2 linked regions of the Schizosaccharomyces pombe genome follow. The protein of the gene in region 1 interacts with the protein of each later gene in a biochemical or structural test. Each region holds a gene or a part of one and is shown on either strand. Other genes may lie near its edges.

Region 1 (5,647 bases):
CAAATCAAAAGCATAACTAGTATGATTTTAAACTAGCGATTTAATTTTCTTTTTCCAATTCACTATCAGATTGATTTGACTGAGACCTAGTATCCTCAGAAACATCAAACGATTCGTCGCTTTTAAGCAAAATTCCCTTTCTTTTTGGAATGACCTCCATGAATGCCTTTTCCCAATCTCTGTACTCTAACCAAAGAGATAATATTTCAAAGACCTGATTAACCGTAAGTATTTTCCTATCCGTAATTTTAATGTATTCATCAATTGGAAGCTTTGCAGTTTTGATCCCTTGCTCAGACGCTTTATTTTGACATAAATTTTTGTACCGATTCTTGTCGACAATCGCACCAATAATATAAATCTTGTCTTCATCGAGTTCGGTGATGGTGTTATCTGAATCAGCAGAAAGATATACTAATTTTTCTTTTTGGGATTCAAATTCCTCTAAATAAGACTTAGTAGTTGGGTTGTATCGTTTCCAATTATTTTGTTGCCCCTTTAGCACAAAATCTTGTCTGGTTTTCAAACGTCCACCAAAGTTGGTAGCAAAAAGTTCTACAGGATGTAAAGCTGTACGATTTGCAGAATGACATCTAGTAACCTGTTGACATAAAGAGTTGATTTCTTTATCGTTCATCAGATCATCAAATGCACAATCCAAAACAATTCGGATACTACTAGGAACGACCTTTCCTAGTCTGATCCTCTTCTTTTGACTTTTAACTACTTCGCCAGCTTCAATTTTTCGCTTTCTTTCCTCTTTTCGTAATCGCTTTTTTTCCCGGCGCATCTCTGCTCGCTTTTCACGACCTGCATCCCACTCTTGCTGTCTTTTTAATCTTTTTAATGCAGATTTGCTAAGAACGGGTTGCTCTTGAGTTTCATTTTTAGAAACGTCAGCTTCAGAAGTATTTGTGTCATCTTTACCAATATCTAAAGCGTCTTTGTTTTCCATAATTTCCCAACTTTATTGCAGTCAAAATATAGCCTAAATTTATCTAGTTATATCGTTATTTTGAACCTAGCCAGGCTGTTCATCTAATGGAAAAAGTAAGAGTGTTGTGAAGTATAAAAAGTTGGTAACTACGCCAATCTCGCAATTATTAACTTTGGGTAATAAAGGGATTCAGGAAGTCGAAAATAAAAAAATTTTGCAAAATTGTATTATTTACAAACTTCGACAAAACAAGCTTTGAAAAATGGCAACAAACGATCAAAAAATCGATAACAAATCGACGGTATCAAATATGCTTGAAAATCCTATGTTTCAGACATTTTCAAAAAAAGAAACAGAAAAGCCATCACTATCTGAATATATGGAACAACTTACTTCAGAGTTTGGAGAAGAGCTAGACAATTTAAGGCAAAAGGAAATTTTTGATCATAACAAACTACAATTGCTTATTGAAAGTTTGCGTGCTGGTCACAAAATTTATGAATAATGGTTTATATAACTTAGCAAAAAACAGACCTGTATTATTCTATTAAAAAAGATAAGCTTGCGGTGCTAATCTTGATCCAACTTATCGTCTTCGTTCAAAAAACCATCTTCGGATGCTGTATAAAACTCGTTATCAGAGATTTCGACAAAAGTAAATGTTTTTTCTATTTCCTCAAAACTTCTCGTATAGAAGTCAGAGGAAGAAACTTTGTTCGAATATGGGGATTCGCTAGGAGCATCTTCGGGTTGTTTATTCGATTCCGCGTTTTTCTGGGCTTCTTTTGCGTGCTTTTTTATTTCTTGGTTCATTTTCCTTAAATTTTTTTTATGTTTTTTGCTGTTTTCATGGTTCTCCAATTGATTTTGTGATCGAAAGTTCTTGTTACAAACCATACACATTATTGGATTTGAATTCACAATTTCTTTGCTCAAAGATTCATCATCGCTGGATGTTTCTTCCTGATCGATTATTGTCCAAGACGCAATTGATTGGTTTTTAAAAGTTTCCTGGTACTGACGCCGATCACGTTCACTTTGCTTTCGCGATGCTTCTTGTAGGGAGTTGTATCTTTCTCCATCGCTTAGTTTCACAACGTTTTTTCTCCGTGGATCAAGATCACATGCTTTTCCTATTAAATCTCTGACAAGTTCGTTATATCGCTGAATGCAGTATTGTATCTGCCTTTGATTTTGTCTCTTCATTAATCGCCGTGTAGCTGCATCACTTTCCTCTTCTTCATTATATAGAGCTTCCCATTCAAAAGATTTTTTCGTTGAAAATCTTAGCCATTTTTGATAAATAGGTTTGGCATACGTCCAAAGCCAAGTTGTGTCCCCTAAAGTTGGAAGGTCGTCTGTGGAACCCGCTATTTTTTCGTCTTGTCGCAGTCTTTCAACGAACGCTGAGGTGCTTTCAAAAGGGATTTTCTCAATTGTTTGTAGATGCTGCAAAACGTCTTCAATTTGTACAGAATATTGGTTTCTTAGATAGTCTTTTTCATGCCATTTTCGTTTATCATCATTAGAGAGAATATTGTATGCAGCGTTTATTTGGGAAAATATTTCGTTATAGTCTTCAATGCCCGGATTTCTATCGGGATGATATTGCAAAGCTAATTTTCTGTTATGATTAGTAAAGATACACAAAGGCGATCAATTCTTCACAACTTAAACGATTATGTTTTAATCACAGATCGAAAAGCTGTAAATTTATATTCTATGTTGATTGATTAAGTTGAAAACAAGTTTTCATACCGGTAATTTGCTTTAATCTCTTGCAAGTCAGAGTCATGATTCACTTGCAAGATTTCATAGCAATCCATATCCTTAAAAGGGTTATTCATGATTGGTGATAAATAATTTGCATAAAATCATAAGTTAACCAGTAAAAGACTTATATAAAGTAGCTTCAAAGACAAAATTCCAAGGCCGAGGAGTGGAATGAATTATCAACCGCAATTGAGATTGCTTGTGATAAACTAACAATTCAATTCTACAATTGAAATACAAAAAAAGCAAAAAAATTGAGAGTTGCCCGTTCAATCGCCAAAATACAATACCTTCAGTACGTTCTATGTAAAATGGTGATCTTTCTCACAAACCGGCGACAATAGCTCCCAACTGTGTTTCAAAAAATGTAGAAAGAGACAAAAAGGCGAATTGACGAGAAACAACGAATCAAAATACTGTTAATGCTAAAAAATAAAGTAATATGCTATGGGTAAATTAAATCTGTGTTGACAAACCCGCAAATACATAATATGGTGTGGTCCCTCACGTCTCGCCAATGCTGAAGTAAATAAATACAACAAGCGAAACATAAGTTAAAGTTGTGTACGAAATCATTTGAACCCTAAATAAATTTGTGTTCTATACATGCAAACTTTAGACAGTTTGAAATCCGAAAAATCACTTTTGTAAAAAATGAATATATGAATAAATATATATATTAACATATATTGATATATGTATAATCTTAATACAGTTTACAAACTACTGTCTTCTTAATTAAGAAAACATGGTTCTCATGAAAACTTATATTGTTATTTAAGGTCTTGCTGCTATATATGCATTAGCAAAATGCACATTTCCAAAAAATGAAGTTAAAATTATCAGTTTACAAAAGACATTGAACTAAAGATCAAATTTTTCCACAACCGAATTAAAATGTAAGATTGTGTTTTTTAGAAGAAGCCAATGCGCTAATAATAATGCCATGCTTGCATTGCTTAAAAACAAACGAACTTCTTGCCTTCATGTAGCAAGGCTATTATCACGAATTTTCATGTTAATTTCGCTATGAATGCTTGGTCTTTTCTGAGTTAATCAATACTATTTAGCTAAGGTTTCGCTCATATAGAATACGAAAATTTCGCATTTATTAATGCAAATTTCCTCGATGTTTTTAATATATTGTGTTGCTAATCTGACTATATAACACTGCCTCTTCAAGGGACAAATAGTTTTAACAAAATTTGTTTACATTATTGAGTCAAGCAATTACGACCCGATGTTATAAGCATTACGCAGATTTCTTTTACAAAAGGGAGGTCTCTTTCATTTACCCCAAGCTTAGCATTACAAAATCATGTGCAAATGAGAAGACTACTTTTAGGGAAAATAAAAATCTAAACTTGATTGGAAAGCGAAAGTTTAAATCCTAAATTGTTTGAGGTTGACGTGTTAGTTTTTCACCGTAATAAGTAAATAGCATTGTATAATGAATAAAAGAAAAATTTTGATAGTTTAACAATTGCTGCTATTCATATTTTAATAGAATCTCAAAATTCATACTAATCGACTTTCTTATCCTTCTATATTCTTCAATATTTCAAACTCGTTTTAAGTCTCTCCTATAGCTTGGGATTATTCAATGAAATTGTAATTGTCGTCCTTTCCTTTACATTGTGAATACTAAAAAATTGCTTCTTCCAGAATTGTTTTATTGACTCACGGATTTGCAACATGTCCTTCTCCTCTTTTTTTTTTTTTTTTCTTTTTTTTTCTAATCTGTAAAAAAACCAAAATTTTACAATCTCGATAATCCTTTTAATGTCTATAGTCATCAAACACGTTTATCTACTTACTCAATACGATAATGTACAATAATTCCATACGAAACTTGCCCTTATCTGTTTTAGTTTTTTGTGGCACACCGTTAACTAATCGTGAATAAAATGGTTATTACAGTCATAGTCCGGTTTAATCGGATCAATCAAATATAATTAGATACCTACTTATTATCATATACATACAAAATTAAAAACAATACAAAAAAGAGGAAAACAAAGAGGCTCAACTTCTTACCGACTATCCTTTATCTCTCTTTTTTTTTTATTTTTTTTTATTTTTTCTCTTTTGGCACAGTGCTACAGAACATTTGTTCAACAACCCAACTCTGTACGTTTCACACATTGTCAGCAAATTGTTGACAATCAGCACAAGCCTCATTCTATAAAGCTAAGGAAGATTTCGTACCACTGCTGGTCTTCCAATTGCCCCTGCTTCCTTTCCTTTTACTGTAAGGCTTACCGGAAGGCCGTTTACTAATAACATTGCGAACCCGAGTGCGGTTGGGTAGTATTACCTATACCGCAAGTTCCTCCGCTCTTTTTATGACGTCAGGGGGAAATGCTTTGGTTTGCCACCTTGCGTCGTCTAACGCGGTGCAATATAAGGATGCGAAAGGACTGCAAGGATTTTCACCTGTCATGAACCAACAAGGATTTTGACGATTAGTACAGTGTTAAAACTTTTGAAATAGTATCGAAAATTCATTTACTATATGTATAAGTATTAAGGAGTTACGCATCTCTTTACAATTTTAAACACTCACGTACCTTTGGTTGAATCAAGCCAGGCAGGTCTCCGTTTGCGAACGACGGTTTCGGTTGATTCGAAACGTGGTATTAGAAAATCATTTTATTTATTTTCATTCCCATTCCATTTATCTATTCTATCTAATTTCGTCCCATTGTAGCTTGTTGTTTTATCACAAGCAGCTTTTAGGTCTTTGGGCTGTTACTTTTTTCTTCACTTCATTCCATTACTAATATATATATATTTTAATCAAAACGTACGCAATTCAACTCTGCGAAACTCTATCTTGCAAGCTTTCTTTCTCCATCTGCTTGTAATAAAGAAAATACTTAACTCCGATACTTCGATTGCAAAGGTCGGAGCACTCATTTTTATAAAAACCACAAA
Region 2 (5,039 bases), on another chromosome or scaffold:
GATGCTATCAACAAGGCAGCTGAAAGTTGGGGAATACGTTGTTTACGGCATGAAATACGCGATATTCGACCCCCTGAAAGCGTGGTCATGGCGATGCATCAACAAGTTTCCGCAGAGAGACAAAAGCGTGCAGAAATTTTAGAATCTGAAGGAAAAAGACAAGCCGCAATCAATGTTGCTGAGGGTGACAAACAAGCAGAAATTTTAGACTCGGAAGGTCAAAAAATAAAAACTATTAATTCCGCCTTGGCAGAAGCTCAAGCAATTCGTGAAAAGTAAGCTTTATTTTCATATGAATATATTACTCACATTTTTAGGGCTTCTGCTACTGCTTCTGGCATTGCTGTATTAGCTGACAGTATCAAGAAGCAAGAACACGGTTTGGAAGCCGTTAGTTTATACATTGCTCAGCAGTATATTACGAATTTCGGGAAATTGGCCAAAGCTTCCAACAGTATGATTGTTCCTGCATCAACGAGCGATGTATCTGGTATGGTTGCTCAAGCCTTGTCTATTTTTAAACAAGTTTCTAAAACTACCGCTCCTGATAAATCGACTCCGAAAGAATTGCATACTGACGAGAAGTAATAAACATTAAGAGTTAATGAGGAATTCTGAATACACCATAACTAACCATTCAATATCTGCCTTACCGTTATAAAAATAATTATCATGATGTGGAAAATGAACTAAATTGTTTTCACTAATCTATAAATAAAATCAATAGTTGATGAAGATTGAAATAACAAGCTTTGGGCGTGCGTCGTCAAACAAAATCTATCATTAAATGTAGAAGACGTGAATGAATAGTATACAAAACATTAAGAGCCAATAAAACAAGTAAAAAAAACTTACAAATTAGAAATTTGAAGCGTATGTGATTTGTGGAGTTCCCTCCGAGTCTTTTGAAACTAAATTACTATCGAGATCTTCGTTGTTATTGTTCTGATCTTTGTTAGCAAGCAAACGAGGTCCCCAAATCCTAGCAATAACCATCACAATAGCAAGAAGAAACACAGAACCAACCACAACACCCACCAAAATACCTATGAGAGCTTTCACACCTCCATAGGGTGTGTAAGTCTGAGGAACGAGAGACGCAATGCCACTTTGTGCAGCAATAGTTGAAGCAAGCGACGTGTATTGAAATATCGTCGTAACATATGTAGTCGGTTGAATGGTAACGTACTCTGTCACAACAGATACCTGCTGATGAATAGAATTATTGGTGCTGGAAGAAATAATTTCATTTGATGCTGAAACATCTGAAGCTGTAATCACTGACGTGCCTGAACTAGAACTGGTCGAAGTAGAGGAAGGTGATGAGGAGGAGGTCGATGGTTGACTATCATGGCTGGTGGATATAGAAGAAGAACTTGAGCTCGAAGAAGTTGAGGCCCTTCGGTATAAACTAGGAAATACGGTGCTCAATGTACCATAGTTTATACTGACACTGGCAGATGGTGCAAAAGTTCTAGGAGTAGCCCCATCCACCACTAGATAACTTATGGCAGTAAAAATTGAAATCAAAAGAAAAGACCGGATGTTCATTGATTTAAAAGAAGTTATCGAGTTACCCTCACACAAATAAAAAGTTTTAATGATTAACTAGAAAATATTTCTAACAATGCAAAAGGAGTTTTAAAAATGGAAAGCGCAATAAATAGCAAAATGAATCAAGGGTGTAGAAATCAAGCTACACTATGTTTGTTATGCAAAAAACGAGAACGATAGTGATGAATTAGGGTAGATAGTATTTACCAGATGAAAATAAAAGAGAAAAGATCACTCAAGAGATATACCTCTGAAAGAAAAGCCTTAGTCGAAGTTCGTGATATTTTGGTTACACTTGAATCTCTCACCGAACAAGCAAAGACTTACATTAATTCTGAATACTAACCATTTCAAGTCCTTAAACAATACCATATATTAGAGGGTTAACTGAAAGAATAAAAATTAATAAGAAATTTAATTAACCAGTATATGATAGCGGAATTAAAGTAGCGAGCCTTTTACATGGTGTTCAATAAGCCTATTCACCGATTAATTTACCGAGGGTCACCGAGTTCACCGTCATTTGCTAGCCATTTCCTACGTCCACAAATAGGTATGGGGTGCGCGCATACCACTCAACTACCAACTTGAGAAGTTTCCTATTTTTGGTACAACTTGTTAGGAAGCGGTCCACGCGCTTATCTTTTCATATTTTAGGTATGATTTATTACTTTGCATTAAATAAAAGATGAAAGTTCATCCGCTTGCGAATTCCTTGAGCTCGTTGTTGTGTCTGATCTCAAAATACCAATAATGTGCTGAAATGTTTTACATATTTATTAACCTAAATAGAGATAGTTATTCACAATGAGTGTCGAGTGTAGTGGAGAGTTGTTTTTCTATCCTCCTTTTACGACTATGTCGAAGGAGCTCATCTCCGTCCATAATCCCAATCCCGAGCCTGTCATTTTCAAGGTGAAGACTACTGCTCCCAAGCACTACTGTGTTCGTCCCAACTCAGGAAAAATTGAACCAAAATCTACGGTGAACGTACAAGGTTTGTAATTTATTTACTCTGGAGCGAACCACCTATCTATCTGTTCACATTTATTTTTTTGTAGTCTTTTTTATGTCTTTCAAATGTTTTTATATTTAGATAAGATATAAATACATTTTGGACTTTTAAAAGTTGTGATATTATATTTTATTCTTTTAAAGTTTGTTGTTTTTCGCTCTTCTTTTTTTGGAATAAACTACTATCATCTTTTTTTTTTATCTTTACGTGCCTCTAGTGTTTTTCTATTATCTTGGCTAACATATATTCTAGTTTTGCTTCAAGCTATGAAGGAGGAGCCTGCTCCTGACTTTAAATGTCGTGACAAGTTTTTAATTCAAAGTATGGCTATCGGTGATGCTGATACCAGTAATGTCGAAAATTATCACGAGTTTTGGACTGAAATGGAAAAACAAGGCCGTTCCATTTTTGATCGTAAAATCCGCTGTGTTTATTCAACTAAGCAACCTCCTCAATCCGCTGATAAACAGGTTGAGAACACTAGTACTTCTAACCCCCCTGTTTCTGTTGAAGGTTCCGAAAACTTAGCATCTTCTGTCGGCGGCCCTACGGCGGTTGGTGTGTCTTTGGATGAAGCTCAAAATGACTTCAATGGAGCAAAGGATCATTTAAGCAATGGTGTTAATACTGTTGTTCCAGATAGTACCTTCCGCTCTACTTTCGAAAGTGCACAAATTCCCGACGCCAGTGTAGTTCAAACCGTTGTTACTGATGCTGACAATGGTGCTGCTTCTGTCAAAGATACCATTGTGACAGCCGAAAGTGCTTCTTCCAAAGGAGCCGATGTTGCTAGATCGAAGGTACAAGATATTATTGATAATGAAATTCCAAAGCCTTCAGAAAGCCCTCGTCGCTCTGTTTCTTCGACTCCACCAGTCCACCCCCCTCCTCCCGTCCCCCAAAATTTATCAGCTGTCAATGAAGAATTTGATACTAAGAAGAATGATTTCGATTCTAAACTTCCTGAATCTACCCCTGCCGTTGAAAAAGTTTCTGAAAATCTCGGATCTGAAACTCGTGAATCTTTACAAGGGGCAAAACCTGCTGCAGGTGCTCATAGTTCCGACAACGCCTTGGAACAAATCAAGCCCTCTTATTCAGCTGACCCTTCGAGTTCCACTGGTGCTTCTTTAACCGAATCTCCAGGAATTCCTCCCAATATTGTTATCATTCTTTGCCTGATTTTCTTCCTTATTGGCTATCTTTTCTTTTAAAATGTAAAGCGTAGATATGTTTAATAAGAAGTGTAAAATCTTCTCCCTAAGTTAATGGCTCTTGATTTTATTACTTTATATGGCCTTTGCTAAGCAAGGTTTTAGGTTGACGTTTGTTGAATTTGTTTGCTCTTCACAACGATAGGGTACTTTTTAGCGCGTTTATCTGGCTTTGGAGATAATTTCCAAATGTCGTTATTTATGTCGACGTCTCATGTTATCTACTTTTTACTCGCAAGAAAAGTTGTAGTCCTCTTATGGTTACCAGACATTCATTCTTACCAGTTCACAAACGTAAATGTGTCTTTAAATACATTACAGCTTCTTATAGTGAATACAATAACATTAATTTATATAAAATAATTTTTTTTGGAAAGAACAATATTAAAATGTGTTAGCTTTTTAGGGCATACGACATTGTGGAATGTTCAAACATTAATGCAAAAAATCAATGAAATTTAAGTGAGTAGGGATATGGCTTTTGTTCTTTGAACTACCTTTTAAAATTAAAGGAGATTTTAAACACTTATTTCGAGAATAATTCCTTCGCAATTTGCGAACTTACAGGATTATGGTAGGAACGAAATATGTTTGCCTTATAAGGGTGTTCAGCTCCATCGTAAATATAAAGACGTTTCATTCTCCTATCCCAAAGCTTATTTCTTGGAAGCATTCCACCAACTGCTCTTCTCAACAAATCCTTGTGCCCCCGTTTCGCAGCCATTTCTTCCATCGTCCACTCTTTAAGATGACCAGGCTGACCCGAATGTGAATAATATTTATGATTTTCGAGTTTTCGACCAGAAATCCCAATTTCAGAACAGTCAGTGACTACTACGACATCTCCACAGTCTGCTGCAGGGTGATAAATGGGTTTGTGCTTGCCCATAAGAGTAGTTGCAATTTGGGAAGCCAGCCTACCTAGAGGAACATTTTTTGCAGAAACATGATGCCAAACTTTGGCGTAAGCCAATGCTGTCTGATATTGTTAGTAAAAGAAACTGTCAAACTAATTTCATACTTGTCCATTCAACGTTGACATCGCGTTGAGATTTCTATATCATAAAATCCTCAGTTCCTTCTGATTTTTCTCTTAAAGCGACAGTACAATATCAGTGGTTTCTAATAAAAGAGAAGTAGGAAAATTGCTCAAATAATGTTTCCTCAAGCTTGTAGGTGTGGGTAAATATTGGATGCTAAGCAACTGTAGTAAGGTAACTGTTACCTACAAAATTTCTATTTTTCAAAAATGTTGT

The links. The genes of interacting proteins can lie anywhere in the genome.
Region 2: the proteins of epr1 (region 1) and scs2 form a complex in vitro, tested with the Schizosaccharomyces pombe proteins (one study listed by BioGRID).

The regions. Positions count from the first base shown.
Region 1 is NC_003424.3:2,423,328-2,428,974, reverse strand, and holds epr1 (ATPase co-chaperone protein), read right to left. Parts: upstream 3,160-5,647; 5' UTR 2,785-3,159; coding exon 2,696-2,784; intron 2,562-2,695; coding exon 1,508-2,561; 3' UTR 1,443-1,507; coding exon of another isoform or gene 1,200-1,442; 3' UTR 1,008-1,199; downstream 1-1,007. Other genes in the region: tRNA m(1)G methyltransferase Trm10, read right to left, coding at 41-955; ribosome assembly protein Rsa3, read left to right, coding at 1,200-1,442. UniProt on the Schizosaccharomyces pombe protein: Reticulophagy receptor required for autophagosomal sequestration of endoplasmic reticulum (ER) membranes during ER stress. Confers resistance to ER stress by promoting the autophagic degradation of the ER (ER-phagy or reticulophagy).
Region 2 is NC_003423.3:4,219,689-4,224,727, reverse strand, and holds scs2 (VAP family protein), read left to right. Parts: upstream 1-2,131; 5' UTR 2,132-2,211; intron 2,212-2,346; 5' UTR 2,347-2,361; coding exon 2,362-2,551; intron 2,552-2,821; coding exon 2,822-3,783; 3' UTR 3,784-4,141; downstream 4,142-5,039. Other genes in the region: SPOM_SPBC16G5.07C (prohibitin), read left to right, coding at 1-275, 318-588; SPOM_SPBC16G5.06 (uncharacterized protein), read right to left, coding at 859-1,551; mrpl23 (mitochondrial 54S ribosomal protein uL13m), read right to left, coding at 4,310-4,762, 4,805-4,825.